Linked DNA regions of Arabidopsis thaliana. The main gene of each other region encodes a partner of the protein of the gene in region 3 in a complex. Each region holds a gene or a part of one and is shown on either strand. Other genes may lie near its edges. The genes, in order: CIPK16, SIP3, CBL1 and HAI2.

The links.
Region 1: CBL1 (region 3) and CIPK16 share a complex: the UniProt entries of both Arabidopsis thaliana proteins name them as parts of the K(+)-channel calcium-sensing kinase/phosphatase complex.
Region 2: CBL1 (region 3) and SIP3 share a complex: the UniProt entries of both Arabidopsis thaliana proteins name them as parts of the K(+)-channel calcium-sensing kinase/phosphatase complex.
Region 4: CBL1 (region 3) and HAI2 share a complex: the UniProt entries of both Arabidopsis thaliana proteins name them as parts of the K(+)-channel calcium-sensing kinase/phosphatase complex.

The regions. Positions count from the first base shown.
Region 1 is NC_003071.7:10,669,860-10,674,847, forward strand, and holds CIPK16 (CBL-interacting protein kinase 16), read right to left. Parts: upstream 3,034-4,988; 5' UTR 2,752-3,033; coding exon 2,051-2,751; intron 1,392-2,050; coding exon 683-1,391; 3' UTR 551-682; downstream 1-550. UniProt on the Arabidopsis thaliana protein: CIPK serine-threonine protein kinases interact with CBL proteins. Binding of a CBL protein to the regulatory NAF domain of CIPK protein lead to the activation of the kinase in a calcium-dependent manner.
Region 2 is NC_003075.7:15,065,248-15,069,706, forward strand, and holds SIP3 (SOS3-interacting protein 3), read left to right. Parts: upstream 1-1,780; 5' UTR 1,781-2,152; coding exon 2,153-3,478; 3' UTR 3,479-3,936; downstream 3,937-4,459. Other genes in the region: AT4G30970 (uncharacterized protein), read right to left, coding at 4,019-4,063. UniProt on the Arabidopsis thaliana protein: CIPK serine-threonine protein kinases interact with CBL proteins. Binding of a CBL protein to the regulatory NAF domain of CIPK protein lead to the activation of the kinase in a calcium-dependent manner.
Region 3 is NC_003075.7:9,814,477-9,819,872, reverse strand, and holds CBL1 (calcineurin B-like protein 1), read right to left. Parts: upstream 3,520-5,396; 5' UTR 3,263-3,519; exon of another isoform or gene 3,127-3,262; intron 2,887-3,126; exon of another isoform or gene 2,855-2,886; 5' UTR 2,732-2,854; coding exon 2,653-2,731; intron 2,239-2,652; coding exon 2,156-2,238; exon of another isoform or gene 1,893-2,155; coding exon of another isoform or gene 1,857-1,892; coding exon 1,797-1,856; intron 1,693-1,796; coding exon 1,584-1,692; intron 1,494-1,583; coding exon 1,441-1,493; intron 1,321-1,440; coding exon 1,240-1,320; intron 1,144-1,239; coding exon 850-1,143; 3' UTR 520-849; downstream 1-519. Other genes in the region: AT4G17616 (Pentatricopeptide repeat (PPR) superfamily protein), read right to left, coding at 1-265; AT4G17610 (tRNA/rRNA methyltransferase (SpoU) family protein), read left to right, coding at 4,963-5,118, 5,204-5,297, 5,385-5,396. UniProt on the Arabidopsis thaliana protein: Acts as a calcium sensor involved in the signaling pathway during growth and development and in response to abiotic stresses. May function as a positive regulator of salt and drought responses and as a negative regulator of cold response.
Region 4 is NC_003070.9:2,280,238-2,284,609, reverse strand, and holds HAI2 (highly ABA-induced PP2C protein 2), read left to right. Parts: upstream 1-1,781; 5' UTR 1,782-1,953; coding exon 1,954-2,457; intron 2,458-2,550; coding exon 2,551-2,862; intron 2,863-2,946; coding exon 2,947-3,459; 3' UTR 3,460-3,864; downstream 3,865-4,372. UniProt on the Arabidopsis thaliana protein: Involved in the negative regulation of the K(+) potassium channel AKT1 by its dephosphorylation, antagonistically to CIPK proteins (e.g. CIPK23). Functions as a positive regulator of abscisic acid-mediated cell signaling during seedling growth.

The DNA.
Region 1 (4,988 bases), on a different chromosome or scaffold from region 3:
CTGATGGTTAAAGTAACCGTAAATTGTGACATAAAGTTTCCGGTTATTGCTTGTATACCTTCTTACATTCTAAGTTGTACTAATCGCTTAATAATTTGCGTATAATGGTAATGTTATATACATTATATTATAAAAATGGTGTTATATATACAATAAGACAATCTCGCTCGCGCACATCCAATCAACAACGATGGAGATGATATTACAAAAAAAAGCATTGAACCCTTCACCTCTTACATTTCAAAGTGTTTATTAAACTAGATTAGTTACAGTTCCTTATGTAAAAATTCAAATATTTATAGTTTAGTGGGTGCACCAACGTGAGTCCGCCCTACTTAATCTTATATACATTATTTTATTGAATTTGAAAAGTAATCCGCAATATAACCCTTGAACGTGTATAGATTTTGTAAACCGTATAAGTTTGTATATAGATTAACAAAACTACTTCGCTTTGAACACTTGAAAAAAAAAAAAAATGAGAAGTAGACTCGAACTAATGACCTATAGAACGTTCATAACATATATAACCAATTTTGCTTCAATAGTTTTTGACAATTGTACAAACCCTCCAAGTAATTTTTATTGTTAATCATAAAAAAAATGTTCTTATACATTTGCAATTTCACAATAAGACAGTCTCGCCTCGCACATCCAATTCCAAAAAGTGAATTATTACAGCTCATGAAACATTATTTATTTTGTTATCATTTGTGTCAACATTATCATTAGTGGTAACATCGTCTTCATCATCATCACCTTGCCATGACCATACAATGTCTTTAAGAGCTGGTCTGACGTCATCCTCACAGAAGAGGTAATACTCCAACGTATCCCCCGAGGTTTTGCAGAACTCCACGACAGAGACTTCAGGAGCGACTTCGAATACTTCCGCCGTCACCGAGAGCCTTCCTTTACGACCTTCTGTTCTTCTTTGCAGCTTCATCTTGCAGTCTTTTACATGTTTCACTCTCATATCCATCTCACGCGCCGCCGTCTCCAGCCTCTCTTTAACAGATTTCGCCGGGAACTTCGATGTGAACATCCGCTTTGGCTTTCGTTTTATCTCGAATAGGTTAGAGAGATCGAAACCTGAAGACATTGATGTGATGAATTGGAAGGCGTTGAAGGATCTTGGTGAAGCTCCGTCGTCTTCTTTCTCGTTTAGGTCTTTCTTCTTTTTCTTTGTTGGTGGCTCCGGTGGAGATGGGATCGTTTCGTCTATCGAAAAGGCTACTGATGGTGTAAAGTTCTTTCGGAACCATGGAATCATTTTGATCTCTGACATTGAAATTCTTTGTTCAGGATCCGGCACAAGCAATCTTGAGAGTAGTTCCTTGGATTCTAAGGAAAACCACGGTGGGAACTCGCATTCCGCCTTGAAGATCTTCCTGTTTATTTCGAAAGGTTCAATCAAACAAGAAACAACAATGAGAATTTGATCAATTCACATTCACATTCAACAATACTAATATTTGAATTTGTAAGAAGAGCACTATTTGAGACCGTTATTATTGGCGGGAGTTTTATAAATTATCTAGTAAAATACGGGACGTGAAATTTTGATAATATAGAACTATAATGAAATATACGATCGACCAACATTTATCGAATTTGATATCAGATTAATGTACCTAAAATACCACCCGAATATTCACAAATTGATAATAGTTTCAATATCTTGGAAAATATTGTATAATTTTGAGTAATTATTAAAATTTGAATTACGTGAACAAATAATTCAAATACTATATATCTTTTCTTTTTGTGTGTGTAAACTTTCAAATAGTATATCTTATATCCAAGTTTTGTATCTATTGGTACAAGTTAAACTGTCTCTTTCAAATAATATTTTATTTAACCAAAAATGATTATTATTTCTTTTTAACATATATAAGTATGTGATGTAAAATTGAGATGCATCTAGAAACCCAACTCAAAATGGACTACTTTGGCTTTTAGTTCAATATTTTTTTGTATCTCACTATTCGTCAAATAAATAACAAAAACAAATACGGTTTGGGCCAAAACCTGGTCAAGAAATACTTACGTGTACAATGTCATGACGTTTTCGTCGATAAACGGCAAGAAGCCAGCAAGGAGTGCATACAAAACAATCCCGCACGACCAAATATCAGCCATAGCTCCGTCGTATCCTTTATTCCGTAAAACCTCCGGCGCCACGTAAGCCGGTGTCCCGCACCGCGTATGTAAAAGATCATCGCTGCTACCACGCCTGCCACCTAGCCCTTCTGGCATCATCAATGCGGAAAGTCCGAAATCCGTTACCTTAAGATCACCTTCTCCGTCAAGCAACAGATTCTCGGGTTTAATATCGCGGTGGAAAACACCGCGGCTGTGGCAAAAATCCACCGCGGATATCAATTGTTGGAAATACTTTCTGGCTAGATCCTCCGGGAGCTTCCCATCTCTATCGATCATTTCGAAAAGCTCTCCGCCGTTGACGTACTCCATGACGAAGAAAATCTTCTTCTTTGTAGCCATTACTTCGCGGAGCTCGACCACGTTTGGATGACGGAGGAGACGCATGACGGCGATCTCTCGTTCGATTTGCTCCATCATGCCACGACGTTTGAAAACGTGGTCTTTTTTGATGACTTTGATTGCCACGTCATCGCCGGTGGAGATCTCTGTTCCGTGATACACTTTGGCGAAGTTACCGGTTCCGAGAAGTCTTCCGATGTTGTATTTGTCGAACAAGACAGTACTACTACGGTTTGATTCTTCCATTGTCTTTGTCTGACTAGTTACAAGTATATGTGAGACTAATTATGTGGAATTTTGTGATTTGGTTACATATCTATATATATAAGCAGAAATTATTTGTGGAATTTTTTTATTTATAATGTTGTCTACTTTGTTTGATATGTGACGACTAAGTGAACTGTGAAGAAATGTTCTAATCTTATCTAAACAAAGTGATGTGCCTAAGATCTGGCAGCTAGCATAATTAAATACGACCAAAGCCAAAAGAATAACCAAGACGAAATTGATTCGCGAATTGAACTAAATCGGGGTTTGCTATTTATGTTGAGTGCCTAAAAAAGGGTTATAGAACATGATAAAACTAGATATAATTAACAAACTAAAGCATGAAAAATAAATATCTCGAGTTACGATGCAATGATCATAAGAGAATGATTTCAATAAAAGTGTAACAGGTGATTTAAATCCATTTCTATGTAAATAAATCCTTTTTTTAACCAGTTAAACAATGGTCTCGCACATTTCTGACCATGTATTCATGTAAATAAGTTCTTAAAGTTTTCAGAATAGATTTTAAAAATATAAAAGTAACTCTCTTATCCTTATACAAAAATTGTGGACGCCATGAAATTGACGTGGAATCGCCGTTAATGCTACGCATGTTTTGAAGTAGATACGCATTAATTAAAAATAGTAAACTTGTCCCGATAAAATTTCAATGAACTGTCTTTTTTTGGTAAGGCAAGATGTGACCTTTTCTACTTGGCCCTTAAATATTTTTAAAACAATTTCTTGACTTATTTTTCATAGAGGAATTTTTAATTTCTTTCGAAAAGCTTTGACTCTTTTCCTAGTTGGGACGATTGTATCGGAAAGTGGTCATTTCTAATACGTCCGTGAATCTATCGACCAAATCTTCCTTTCTACATCTTTGCTAATTTCTTGGTTTGATGGATTCTTCATATTTTGCTACTCAAAACAACACACTCAATTTTTCCAATTGTTTTCTTACAATTTGATGATTTTTCTACATACATGAAAATCTCATTATAACCGTGTATTTGGGTGGGATACTGTTATTTTCCTCTATCATAATCAAAGGTACATCTTGTAAAGCTAAATCTAAATTTTAACAAAAAAAAAAGAAGCTAAATCTAAATTTGTTCGATTTAAAGATCAGGATTATTAAGATAATATATAACTAATCATTTTAAGGAACATGTATAACAAGTCCAAGAAACTTTGTGATGTGTCATGATTTGGACCCACGATTAATGACAACAATTATGTTTACACAAATGTTAATACTCTAACGAAATACTATAACGAGTTTTACCCAAAAAAAAAAAAAAAAAAAAAAAAAAAAATACTATAACGAGATATGTATTTAAAATTGAAGAGTAAAAGGGTAACATCACAAACATAGTACACTATTTTGTGGCTAATTGGGTGATCACAGACATATATCTACTTATCGCGCTGCATTTCCGATTGTTTGTTATTTTCGGGTGATTAGGTTGTCGAAACTAGCTGCTAAAACAAGCCATGCCGTGAATTTTGCATCACATTGATCAGTCAAATTTCAAGCAGTAGTTGATTGGAATATGCCCTAAAGAGTGAAAAGATTTGCAAATCCACCTAAATAAGCCATCGTTTGTGCTGCACATGGTTTAAATGTTGCATTACTTAATTAGAAAACAATTTGATCAAATGCATAGGAGTTCTACTTCGAACGAATCTAAAGATGTTACCTCATCTACCTTATGTTTTCCTGATGATAGAAGACCCCCTTACCTAAAAATGTTGTTCAAGGGTAAACAATAAATACATATATATACATGAGTGTGTGTGTGTGTACAAGCACGATTCATATTATATGTATGTTGCCAAAACCTTTGCTATTTGATGCACAATATGTGATGATGTAAACTTTATATATAAGTACAGAATGTTTGAATGGAGCTTAGACAATTTCTTGAACCAGAGAAAATAAAATAATAATTGGTGTTGTTGATAAAAACTCAACATGCCAAGAAAAACAGATTGCTGAAGTATGGATCTTCAAATTCTATCATTTACATAAATTAAAATGAGTGATCTTGCAAGGAAAAATGTGAAGAAAAATGGAAAATAAGAGTTCTTTGTAAGAAAGGGGAAGTTTTATTGAAATGAAAATATTGAAGACTTGGTAATAAAGAAGAATGCAAAAACCGTGAAGAATCCTACACAATTTTGTCTACTTCTTTTTTTTTTCTTTACTT
Region 2 (4,459 bases), 5.3 Mb from region 3:
TTTTTTTTTTTTATGTAATATGTTATTAACATTTTGAAAAGTATATGGAACGACTTATTTGTTGGGCATAACAACTTAATAAAATAGCATATCTAATATTTCCTCTTAAAATGGAACGATTTAAAACAAAAACAAAAAAAATCTTCTCAAAACTCATTAGCTAATTGATTGATTGTAGTAATATAGAGAATCTTCAGCAAACCAAACTTTAGTTATTTACGGACCACATGATAATTATCATATCTATGAATGTTTTTAATTTATATATTCTTGCTACAACATCCGTTTCAAAAATTATAGCCTCAAAATAAACAAGAAAAACTTCACAGTTTATCTACCATCTTCGTGTATAAAAACAAAGAAATGAAGTAGAAAACCCTAGAATCTACACTCACATAATGGTCCACAAGGACCACAACGAATGAAAACAATTGAACACAAATTATAGTAAAGAATCATGGAATCTATGGAAAATTATCAGACCCTACATTAAGACACAACTATTTTCTTTATAAACCTTATGAATTTTTGTAGATACAGAACTTGATTCATTGTATATAATTATGCTATTTCCCTCAATTATCCATATGCATAATGCAATGCAAATGGGTAAGTAGTCAGTTAAACTAAGGGCTTGATTGGTTCTCCCTCTGCCACCCGCAAACGCAGCGTTTGCGGGTGGTAGCGGTTGTTAGCGATTGGCACCAATCATATAAACCGCTAGATATCGCTTTGGACCGCTCGAAATCGCCAGATTTCAAAAGCTCCTTCCCGCAAGCGTTTGCGGTTGCGGGCGGTAGCGGTTAGGTTAAAAAAAAAATTATTTTTATAATTAATTAAAATAATTATATTTTCCACCCAAACCCTATATATCTTATTCTTATTAGAAAACTCTAATAATTAATATATTGTAACTCTATTCTCTCAATTATGGCATCCACCCAAACGGATAAAAATTAAAATCAAAATCAATAATCAAAAGTAAGTATCATATATTCGTTCATCCATTCACGACCAGTTTGATTTTTTTTTGAGTTGGAGATGTGTTATAAATCGTTTGGATATCTTGAAGAAACTTTATTATATGTATAGAGGCAATCTGGAAAATCCGCGAGTTCAACGTTATTTACAGTTTATCACACTATTTGATGTAATTTTTGGTGATGTACCAAATGCATAAAGTATTAAGCTTTTTCTTGCAAAATTTATTTATTTTTGAATTTAATGTTTTATTTACGGTTTTAATTTTTAATTATATTTAATTTTTCTAATATTATGAATTTATCATAATAATATATTATATTTTTCTTTCTTTTAATAGTAATATATTATATTTATTTTGGTTTATTTTTGTTTAATTACTATCACACCCGCTGGTTTACCAGTCATAAAACTCCCGCAAACGCACCCATTATCAAACGTTCAACCAGTCGTTCAAAACGTTTGATAACGCTTGAAACTGCAACCGCCAGTTTCCGCAAACTTCCGCAACCATAACCGCACCCGCTGCATTTTAATCCGTCAGGCCCTAAAAAAATTAATCACTAGGCCGTTAATCCCTATCCGTAATACGAAACACTAGAGGGATAGAATAGTAAATCGCATCGTGACCGGTCATAAAAAGACACGTGTCGTCATCGCTATCCAAATAATTGACAAACTCGAAGCCGCCAAGGGATTGCCGAAGACACATGTCAGTCAGCGAAAGGAGGTTAAACGGTGTAGTTATCACTCCCTAATAAGGGTATCTACGTAATTGCAATGTCGTTAAGATCTATATAAACACTACTCTTTTGCTAGCTCTTATCCGACGGCAAAAGGAGAATTAAGATTTTTAACTTTAAACGAGAGTTTCGTTTATTTACTCAAAAATTTACTTCTGAAATCTCTATTTGAATTTCGGGGAAAAAAATCCTAAGTAAGGGAATGCAGAGAGATGGTCGGAGTATCGCCGGTGAAGACTAAGCTGTGTGATCGGTTTAACCGATCCGTCGGCGGCAGGAATTGCCACCGGAAACACGTCGAGGACGGGTGATCCAGTTTTCTAAACTCTCGTCTCTCGAATTCTTCGAAGATATCGAAAAACTGTAAATCTTTTTTTTCTTCTACTTTTTTACAAAATTCTCTAATCATCGTTGTAAAGTAAAAAACCATGGTCGGAGCAAAACCGGTGGAGAATGGATCTGACGGTGGTAGTAGTACGGGGCTGCTTCACGGCCGTTACGAGCTAGGGCGTCTTCTAGGTCACGGAACATTCGCGAAGGTGTACCACGCTCGTAACATACAAACCGGAAAAAGCGTGGCGATGAAAGTCGTCGGAAAAGAGAAAGTGGTGAAAGTTGGTATGGTTGATCAGATCAAACGAGAGATCTCTGTGATGAGGATGGTGAAACATCCAAACATCGTCGAGCTTCACGAAGTCATGGCGAGTAAATCCAAGATCTATTTCGCCATGGAGCTTGTACGAGGCGGTGAGTTATTCGCTAAGGTGGCTAAAGGAAGACTACGTGAAGACGTAGCTCGTGTTTATTTCCAGCAATTGATCTCAGCCGTTGATTTCTGTCATAGCCGTGGTGTTTATCACCGAGATCTGAAACCGGAGAATCTCTTGTTAGATGAAGAAGGTAATCTCAAGGTGACTGATTTTGGTCTCTCTGCTTTCACTGAGCATTTGAAACAAGACGGACTTCTTCATACAACTTGTGGAACTCCGGCTTATGTTGCGCCGGAGGTTATATTGAAGAAAGGATACGACGGAGCTAAGGCGGATCTGTGGTCTTGTGGTGTTATACTTTTTGTGCTTCTTGCTGGTTATTTGCCGTTTCAAGATGATAATCTTGTGAATATGTATAGGAAGATTTACAGAGGAGATTTCAAATGTCCTGGTTGGCTTTCTTCTGATGCTAGACGGCTTGTGACTAAGCTTCTTGATCCGAATCCGAATACGAGGATTACTATTGAGAAGGTTATGGATTCGCCTTGGTTCAAGAAACAAGCAACGAGATCAAGAAACGAACCAGTGGCTGCCACAATCACAACCACGGAAGAGGATGTTGATTTCTTGGTGCACAAGTCGAAGGAAGAGACGGAGACGTTAAACGCGTTTCATATAATCGCGTTATCGGAAGGGTTTGATTTGTCGCCGTTGTTTGAGGAGAAGAAGAAAGAGGAGAAAAGAGAGATGAGATTCGCGACGTCTCGGCCAGCGAGTAGCGTGATTTCGAGTTTGGAAGAAGCGGCGAGAGTTGGGAATAAGTTTGATGTGAGGAAGAGTGAGAGTAGAGTAAGGATTGAAGGTAAACAGAATGGTCGGAAAGGGAAATTGGCGGTGGAAGCGGAGATATTCGCGGTGGCTCCGTCGTTTGTTGTCGTGGAAGTGAAGAAAGATCATGGAGATACGCTTGAGTACAACAACTTCTGCAGTACTGCTCTTAGACCAGCTCTCAAGGACATTTTCTGGACCTCTACACCTGCTTGAATTTGATGAATTCTTGCGTGTTTCAAATTTTTATGTTGTAATATATATTGTTGGATTCTAGATTCGATTCGTGATTCTTGTTTTTGATTCTTAATGTGGTATCATAGTTTGGATCGTTCAAAAAGTTGTAAGTCTTTTGTGTGTGTTTGAGTCGTGGCCGATATGTTGCGTCACGAAGCAGAGAATGTTGTGTGTGGTGTAGAATGGTGTGTTAAAGATTCCATCATCAACAAATAATAATCATGACTCTTTTAAGAATGTTAAAGAGTCAATTTTTATGCATTCATTCTCATCAAATGTCTTTTTTTTTTTTTTTGCACGTCTCTTCTTACCTTGGATTGATTAGGACATCATCTTTGTTTATGCTGGTCCAATTTGTAGTGTCGTGTTGAATCATGTATATACTCTTCAAGATTCATGTGACTATTGTATTAACACAAGTACTTAAAAAAATTCTGCGTTTTTACTTTATTGAGTCGTTTAGCTTATGCGTTTTAAATTGGTAAGATGAGTAGTAGAATCATCAAGTTAATTCAGTCGCTAGCGATGATAGAGGGCTTGTGGAGTAAGTCGAGTTAGTAAAATCTGTCATATAACAATAGGGATATGATTAGCACAAATGTGACGACGATTGTATGATTAGTGATCAGAGTTTTTTTTTTTTTTTGAATAAAATGATCGTGACAAGTATTCATTGATTTGTTGATTATAAATAATAGTGGAGTAGATGGATTCAGATGAGTGAATAGAATATGAAAAGTAAAAGGAAGATGAGGTGGGCAGCAAAACAAAAGTAGAAGTTACGTGATTGGGATGGATGTTTCATGAACCCGATTAATATTATATTAGTATATATCTCTCTTTTTAATAGAATTCTTAGTATAATCATATCAAACATGTGATTCATTAACGGAGATGCAAACACCAACCCATGATCTGTAACATAAAAAACGAAAAATGAATAACCATCTTTTACTGCCA
Region 3 (5,396 bases):
TCTCTGGAAATCCATAGAGGCGTTTGAAATCTTTAAACACGTCCCAAGCATCATCTACACGGTGATCTTTAAGAGCTGTTTCTAGCTTCTTCTTGAGAATTACTTGAGAAGAAACTTCCCAGTTTAATCTAGCAGGTTTAACACTAGTACAGAACAGAGACGGCTTTGAGGTGCGACTACACAAGACCCATGAAATTAGGGTTTCTACGTTACCGCTATCGAATCGACGAAATGATTCTAGAACTAAGTTCCGTTTCCTAAACATTAGTCTAGAATTTCGATTCCAAATCTAGAATTTAACAAAGAAAGCACAACAATGACGAGAACATGATAACAACATACGAATTCTCCAATCGAGAAAGAACCCTAAATTGCTGGAAACTTCGAAATCGAGAGAGAAGAGAGGAACACTGTAACAAGAGAAGAGTGGCAAGACTGTAAATTTCATCGGGTCGGGTCCTAGGACATTCGTACTTTCGCTTTTGCGGTTAAGGACCCAACAAAATCTCAAATTCACGTTTTTGCAGTATAAGATTCCATTGGAACAATTAGAACCCCGAGTAAACGTAACAAATCTTTACTTTTTTACTTGAAAAAAAACAATTACAACAAACGTATGATGTAATATGTACAAACTCATTAACATTTCCTAACTATATGAAGTGAAGGATTGGTGATTACGCGCTTCTTCTTTTTTTTTTTTTGTAAGCTAAAAACCCAAAATTTTAAACTGTTGTGAGAAGAAAAAAGTAACCCAAACAATTTCAAGAGAATATGCTCTACTACTGTTTACAAACAGATGTTGATTACACCGATTAGCTCAGACTTGTTCTTCCAACTCGTGGCAATCTACTCGGTCTTAAACCAGTTTGTTTCTTCATGTGGCAATCTCATCGACCTCCGAATGGAAGACAAAACTCGGAAACGTTGTCGTAATATCCCTGCATTGTTTATGTACAAGTTAATATGACATTTCATTTGGCATTTTTCAGTTTTCTTTGGTTTCCATAAAAGGCAATTTGTAATATACCTGAGATATGGAAGAGTCATGATCTTAAGCAATGATGGATTTTTGTTTACGAAATCACTCCACTCTAATTTATCAATTTTTCCATCTTGATTCACGTCTGCATCTTCAAATGTCTGTTCATATATGAGAAGGACGAAGGAAACCACATTAAGAACATCATCTCTAAATGTATACCATCTAGAAAAATAAAGCCTTAGACAACAACAAACCTTATCGAGTATTATCTCTATGGTTTCATCAGCCAGTTTCATTTCAGATTCGCAGAGAAGCGCGATCAACATTTGCTTGACCTGCAAATATATCACATTCATTAACGATTTCTTGCAAAGTTATTAAGTAAAAGATGAATACTCAAGAACATGGCAAAGATCTATCATGACTAGTATTCAAAGCTTGCAAGTTAGTATTACCTCTTGTCGTTCAATGTAACCCGTGCAGTCCATGTCGTAAAGCCTAAACGTAACTGAGAAAAAATGGCAGACCAGAATCAATAAATCTCTTCACAAAAGCTTCAATAAACACCTATATATGAAACTATCTTATGTCAACTTACAATCTATTTTGTCTTCTAGAGAAGCATTGGGGTGGAAAACATTGAGTGATCTTACAAAGTCCCCGAAATCGATGACTCCTTTTCGTTTAACATCAAACATATCAAATATCTGCGGAAAAGCAATATTGTTTAGGATAATGGACATATTATCTTGGTTTAGATCACTCTTCCAGAAGATGAATCTTGTAAAAGCCTGAAGAATTAAGATTTTACCCTATTAGCAAATATATTCTCCCTCTTCCGGCTTTTGAACAAAGCAAGTTGAAACTCCTCCTGCATACATGTGAAGCCAGGATTAAAAAACAACATAAACAAGGTGGGCCATGAAGGCTTCAAAATTCAAAATCAAAGCAATCAATAAAATAAGTTAAGTTCAAGTCAAACATTAAGGGCTACGATACATTGAATCGATGCAATATGGAACAGACATATCGTCATGGAAGAATAATTATTGCTCAAATAAAGTCAACTAAGTTGAAAAATACTGTAGATGAATAGCGTAAAGAACAAAAAGATACAACGATGGGGTCATGAAAAGATCCAAATTGGGTCAAAAGAAACAAACTTTGTACCTTGTTAATCAGACCATCATCAACAACCGAACTGCTTATGCTCTTGAATAGCTCAAATAATGCTTCAACCTCACTCACACTAACTGGAAAAGAGAAAAAAACAAGCAACACTACGAGATCAAAACAAAGAATTACCAGGAACAAACAAACAAACAAACAAAGAGACTAATAATTCACATTTAGAATTTGCATGGAGAGAGAACTCGTCTTGACAAGTTAAGGAACAAGATTAAGGTGATGGTATTGGTAACAAGAAACATGAGATAGAGTGTTAACCAACTTTGAAGGATCATTACTAGAAATTGTTAGGCAGACAAAGACTCCAAAACACAAAACTAAAAAAATCCAAACCGGAGATAAACTAAATCAGTGAACAGAGAAAGAATGATTTGAATCTAACTGATGATTCTCATCTCATATCAGAAAACAAATGAACATGCAGCTTTGAGAGAAATGAATCTAGAGGAGGTTTAAACTTATAGCGCGAGTAAACTTACAAGCTGTCTCAGAGGCAAGCTTAACAGGGTCTTCGTGTCCTCGAAATTCTTTTGCTGCCTTTGAGTGGAAGCAGCCCATTTACAGATGAAATAAGACGATGAAACCTTATACCCGAGCCCCGGATAACGAAGAAAAGGCGGATAAAATCCAACAGCTAATTCAGCGATATCTGAGATTCTATAGCTTGATTGCTACTGTTTACTGCACAATCATCACAAACATATTTTCAAAATCTACACATATGGAAACAGAACACAAACAATGCCATTTCATTAGAAACAAATCATCTAAAAAAATCTTTGTGAAACGTAAAATTGAAAACAGTCTAGAAGAATCTCAACAACTTTGCTCAAATTTTTTTACCATGGAAGAAAAAAGTGTAAACCCTAGCAAAGTAGCATCAATGAAGAAAGAAAAAAAAAACACAAAGTTCTTCGAATCCATAAGATACGGAGATGGAATCAAAATTGTACCAGTAAAACACGATTCGAAACCAGACGATCAATGTAGAAACATCGAGAATTCCACAGGCCAAAAATCAAACTCAAAAAAACGAAATTCGATGGAAATAAAAGAAAAAGATTCTTAAAAATAAGAAGCAACACTCACCACCCAAGAGAAACGGTTCGCCGGCGAGATCCAGAGAGAGAGGAGCTAGAAACAGCAAAAAGAGAGAAAGAGAGAGGAGACGAAGAAGATTGGTGAACGGTGATGGCAAGATGGATGATCGGACGGTTGAGATCGATTATTTATTTTTCTTTTTCCTTTGGAATGAATTTTAGTAGCGCTTATATGATGGCATATTCGCACGTGTGAATCATAGTAAGCGCGTGTGAGACGAGTCAGTTTTGGAAGTTAATAGAATCGGCGTTTAGTTCAGTTTTTTCTGTCGTCATGTAATTTCAGTTAGACCGAACCTAATTGTACCTAATTCCATAGATTGATTTCTGTTATGTTCATTCTGTACTATTTATCTTCTGTCTTTTTTTCTTTTTACAACTTGATTGTTACGTAAGCATACACGATATTTTCTATGTTTCTGTATACTAAGAATGGGAAAAATATTTTTTGGACAAGAAATTCAAAATTTCTTTTGTTTCTTCTAATATCCATTCACTTCCGGAATAAATCAAAGATCCGTCCATTTTATTAGTCAAAATGGCACCTCTTAGGAATATTCTGAATATACGGAATTGGTAACCCTGTATTATAATAACTTTTTATATAGTTAGTTTATTAGATATTTGCGATGCTCCATAATTTGACTAATATGCAAAATGGAAACGCCAATAATAAAGTCTGGGAAACATTTGTCTTCGACTGATCGTGTTAGTGGTCACCATATCTTCTTTTGGTTTTGCTATCTAAAAAAACACAAGTTTTTTAATCCATTAACATTTTTTGTTTCTTTGGTAAAATAAATCCACTAACATATGTGATATTTACAGGGTGCCATTTTAAAACCATAACACTCTTGACAACTGGAAAAAGGCTCTAAACTGTAATTATCTGTTGAAATGGTTATTAACTAAATAAATCAGATCATGAAGCCAAATCTCTACAAGAATCAATTTAATTATAAAGTATTGTGTTTATGAATTAAATATGTCGTAGACCAGTCGGTGTGGAATTAGTACTTCGGTCTGCAATGTGGCAGGCAAACGTTGACATAATTAGGACCTTAATCACGACCAGACCACGTGTTTATCGTTCAAAACAATAATAATAGCGTATATATATTAAATTTCTTGATTATGATTAGTAGCTTTGATTCTCCTGCCGTTAACTCGATCAATTAGAGTTTTATATCATTTTGATATCTTTAAAGCGGGCTTAAATTGACTCTTTGGTCACCGGCCGTGTTGGGAACGCGTCCTCAAAATGTTTTGTTTAATTTGCGTATACTACGGTATTATAATTTTATAAATGCAACATAATAACATCCGGATCCGTGGCGCAATGGTAGCGCGTCTGACTCCAGATCAGAAGGTTGCGTGTTCGATTCACGTCGGGTTCAATCCCCCGAACAATTTCCGGTTTTTTTTTTTTTTTCTTCTCCTGAAGTCTATCCCATACGGCCCAATCATACTAAGTTAAGCCCAAGAAAGCCCTTATCAATAATTCTAATTTCCCCCCTAATTATACGACTAGGGTTTATCTGTCCTAAGCCATGAAAATTATTTGAAAGGGTTTAACAGAGAGATTCCTCGTAACACTTCCCTCTGTACTAATTTCAAATTCGTTTACGTTTCTTCATCTATTCTGGCTGCTTGCAGCCAATTTTTTTGAAGTTCGAAGCTTCAATTGAAATGGGTTCGTCAGTGATTACTTCATTGTCACTGAGCTTCAAGCAAGTTCCACCAGCAGCTATTCCTGCTTTCCTTGACTGTGTTTTAAGCTCCACAGGCGTATCTCCTTCAACTCTTTTCGAATCTCTCATTGAGCAATTCCCTTTTCGTTTAGAGGTATTGATTGATTGGTTTATTGTTTCACACTTCGGCAATTTGCTTCGGATTGTTCAATTTAAGATTTGAACATGTTTTTGAATAGGATACGGTAAATGGGGACAAGAGATTTGATTCTGATGATTGCAACCACATAGCTTCATTGGTGGCTGGGCTTTGTCATCTACTAAAGAATTTTGGTGAGTTACCAATTTTGAATTTTTAGATATGTATGATGTGTTAGTGATTACAGAATTGTTTAATTGATGGTTATGAGGTTGAAGCAGGCTTTGTTGCTG
Region 4 (4,372 bases), on a different chromosome or scaffold from region 3:
GCTTCTTTTTTTTACAGTTGAGACTTGAGAGACACATTAAAGCTTGTCATCGTTCACTGGAGAGAGTAGAGTGTGTGAGAGACAAAGTGACCTAACTTCACTGCAACAGTAGTCGGTAAATATCCAAACATAAGAGCTACGATGGTAACACGTGTACGGTGGAGGAAAAGAGAGCCCTCAGATTCCGTTATAAAGGAGGTGAGACCCACTCGCCGGAATGGAAACAAAGGAGAAACGTAGAGGTAAATGGTTGGGCCACTGCTTCACCAAAAAGCCTTTTCTATCTTCTTTTTATTTTTGTTTTGTGGCTTTTAACGGTTAACAATATAACTCCTCATTCCAAGACAATTACGTGTCCTCTGTACGGCTTTTTCATTTTTCACTTTCTACTTCATAGTGACTTTAGGGAGGCCTCAATTTTTAATTACTCGAGGATTATTTAGGTAATCATGAATGTAACTACAGCTTTACAGGTAATTAAACAGATGAGATTTAGTTGCGTGAAATCTAGCTGATCTGGTGCTTATATCAAATCCAATTGATGGAGACAGATTTGGACTTAAATTCATGATTGTATTTGTAATCTTATATACGTTATAGTTAAATTTCTTTCTCTCCGTACGTACTCTAACTATAATTATTATTAAATGCTGAACGCAATGCTTTTGAGTGCTGAGAATCTTTTTGGTCTGATTCAAAAATGATGTATTAGTACTCTGAATTCAATCTTAACTTCTGCAACGAATCAATGTATTAATTTATAGGAGATCCGGATAAAATTATGGATATATGCACGCTACTTCTTTCATTTTTAATTAGGTAAATGGTTATAACTTTATTTTATATATCAATTAAATGATTTTGGTATGAGATTACTAGTACACTTTCTTTGCAAATGTTTTAAACACGACAAGACAAAAATATTACAAGCATATTTTGGTAAAAAATATCATAAGCTTTCATATCAAAATCATTAGTTATGATGTTAGATTTTTTTTTTTTTTTTTTAACACTACAAAAAGCTCTGGTCTTAATATGTTAGAAATTTTAGTCCAAACCAGCCTACAGAGGATTTAGCTAAACAATTCCCAAGCACCTTTTAAGTGTTAACCGAAATAACGTAATATGATGTTAAAGGTTACATAAAAACAAAACTAAAGAATTTTCATATGAAAAGTTAACGTACGTGTCTTAGTGTAACCTAATTTTAGTTCACAGTATATAAATTCTTTAATGAGATGATCGCAAAATCGCTGTATACAATTTCGTACTTAATTCGTTAGTCTTGAAAAGTTGACCTAATTTAGATCAAATTAAGGTTAACTACAATAAAAATTTAACTAACGTAATGGGATTCTTTAAAATTAAAAAATCGTTGATTAGATAGATATTTTATCTTTAAGGGAGACACAGAGACAATTTGGACAAAAAAGGTCTTCCTGAGAAAGAAGTGGACCACAATCGTGGCGCGAAAGGAACTTCCTCCTCCCCTCTGTTGCCTTGTCATTGGGCCACGTATATCTCCACCTGATCGTGATGCTTACGTGGTCCATTTCTAGATACTATAGTGACCAGATCAACGGTCAAGATTGATTCTAATTTAGACGAAAGACCAACACGTCACGTCGCTAGAGTAAAAGATTTTTTGAAGGCGGAGGGAGAAAAATCAAAAGTTAAAAGTAATTTGAAAACGAGGAAGAGAAAAAGGAATTTTAAAATGTTTAATGAAGCGGTAGGCCGCATGGGTATATAAATGGGCACGCTTTGTAACGTGTAACGATGATATTTATTCAACTGCGTGGTATAACCAAAAAAAAAAGAAACACTATTCGACTCTTTTTTTGTTTTTGTAATAAACATAAAATAAATTTTGGAGAGAGATATTTCGTCGGAAATTAATTGACGTTCAAAAGATTCGTTACCGGAATATTTAGTAGAGGCGGCGATCGAGTTATGGCGGATATTTGTTATGAAGACGAGACGTCGGCTTGTGAATCAAGACCGTTGTGGTCTAGCCGGAAGTGGAGGATCGGTGTCCAGCGATTCAGGATGTCTCCGTCGGAGATGAATCCCACGGCGTCGACGACGGAGGAGGAGGATAAATCTGAAGGGATTTATAATAAGCGAAATAAACAAGAAGAGTACGATTTTATGAACTGTGCATCGTCGTCACCTTCTCAAAGCTCTCCTGAAGAAGAGAGTGTATCACTTGAAGACAGTGACGTCTCTATCTCCGATGGAAATTCATCGGTTAATGATGTTGCAGTTATTCCGTCGAAGAAGACGGTTAAAGAGACGGATCTGAGGCCGAGATACGGCGTCGCATCGGTGTGCGGGAGAAGAAGAGATATGGAAGATGCGGTTGCGTTACATCCGTCTTTTGTACGGAAACAAACGGAGTTTTCTCGAACAAGATGGCACTATTTTGGTGTTTACGACGGCCATGGCTGTTCTCACGTACGACGCCGTTTTACCCTAATTTGAAAATTTCAAAATTATTGATATATTTACGGTTTTGCCTGATTGAAATATACGATGTCGTTTTTGTAGGTTGCGGCTAGGTGTAAAGAGAGACTTCACGAGTTAGTGCAAGAAGAAGCGTTGTCGGATAAGAAAGAAGAATGGAAGAAGATGATGGAGCGTAGCTTCACACGTATGGACAAAGAGGTTGTTCGTTGGGGTGAAACTGTGATGAGTGCTAATTGTAGGTGTGAGCTTCAAACGCCGGACTGTGACGCTGTTGGATCCACCGCCGTTGTCTCCGTCATTACGCCGGAGAAGATCATTGTTGCGAATTGCGGTGACTCAAGAGCAGTTCTTTGTAGGAATGGTAAAGCAGTACCTCTTTCTACAGATCATAAGGTCAGTCTTTATCTCTTTCTAACTCTTTCTTGATTTGTTTGATTTAGTGGATTTTAACTCTTGTTTACGTTTGAAAATGAACAGCCTGATCGTCCGGATGAGCTGGATCGAATCCAAGAAGCAGGAGGACGAGTGATATACTGGGACGGTGCAAGAGTCTTAGGCGTTTTAGCCATGTCACGAGCCATAGGAGACAATTATTTAAAACCGTACGTCACTTCGGAGCCGGAAGTGACGGTTACGGATCGGACTGAGGAAGATGAGTTTCTGATTCTAGCGACGGACGGGCTATGGGACGTAGTGACGAACGAGGCAGCGTGTACGATGGTGCGCATGTGTCTCAACAGAAAAAGTGGTCGTGGAAGACGGCGAGGAGAAACACAGACTCCGGGGAGGAGGAGTGAAGAAGAAGGGAAAGAAGAAGAGGAGAAGGTGGTGGGGTCAAGAAAGAACGGGAAGAGAGGAGAGATCACGGACAAAGCATGTACGGAGGCGTCAGTATTGCTGACGAAGCTGGCGTTGGCAAAACACAGTAGTGACAACGTAAGCGTCGTCGTTATTGATCTCAGAAGAAGAAGAAAGAGACACGTTGCTTGACACTAATCTCCTCATCACTCTTACTCCACCGTTTTTTGTGTTGTTTAAAATGATTCTTTTACCTTGGGACGAAGGTAGCTCAAATCTTTGAACCCAAAAGAGAGAAAAAAAAAGCATTAGGTCTAAAAAAAAAACCCCGGTTTACTGAAAGCGGTTAAACCGGGTATGGTTGGGTCTTTTTTGTTCTGAACCTTTTTTTCTTGCCTTTTTTCGGTGTGTAATGAACAAACAGAAAAGGAAGCCGGAATGTGTCACTGTCTAGGTGGAATCAGTTCAGAATTCAATTAATAAAAAAGTATGTATATGTTTTCTTGGCTTTTAAAGCAAACCAATTAACTCGGATACGCGTGGTGATCTTTGAGAACATCACCGGGAATTTTCAGTTTGTTGATAAAGATTTTAAAATCTCTATAAACGAGTGGGCCTTTTTGGTGTTGGAAGAAATTCAAAATCTCACGGAAACGAAAAGAGAGAGAAGATAATTGGGAAGAGGACGGAGTACGTGTCGAAGAGGTAAAAGTAGAAACCCTACACCACGTAAAGAGGATGTGACACACCGGAACGATGCATATGTTAATATGCGCATTCGTACGTGTCGGTGTCGGTGTCGGGTAATTGATTGAGATCTGAATATGAACCTAATCAGACTGTTTTATCTAAACATGATCACTGGTCTGATGGAAAATCAAAATTAACTTACCTGTCATGTAATGTAAGAATTTTATTAAGAAGGAAAATCGAACCAACACTCCCAAAGCATTTGGGCCGAGAATTTTGGGGTATTATATTTTCATCTGAATCCTATAAGGCTATAACCTACCCAAAAATTTGGTAGCGCAACATCTAAACTTGATACAGAAAAATGAGACAAGGATATATTAAGCTTCAAATAGATGACCCATACAAAATGTTT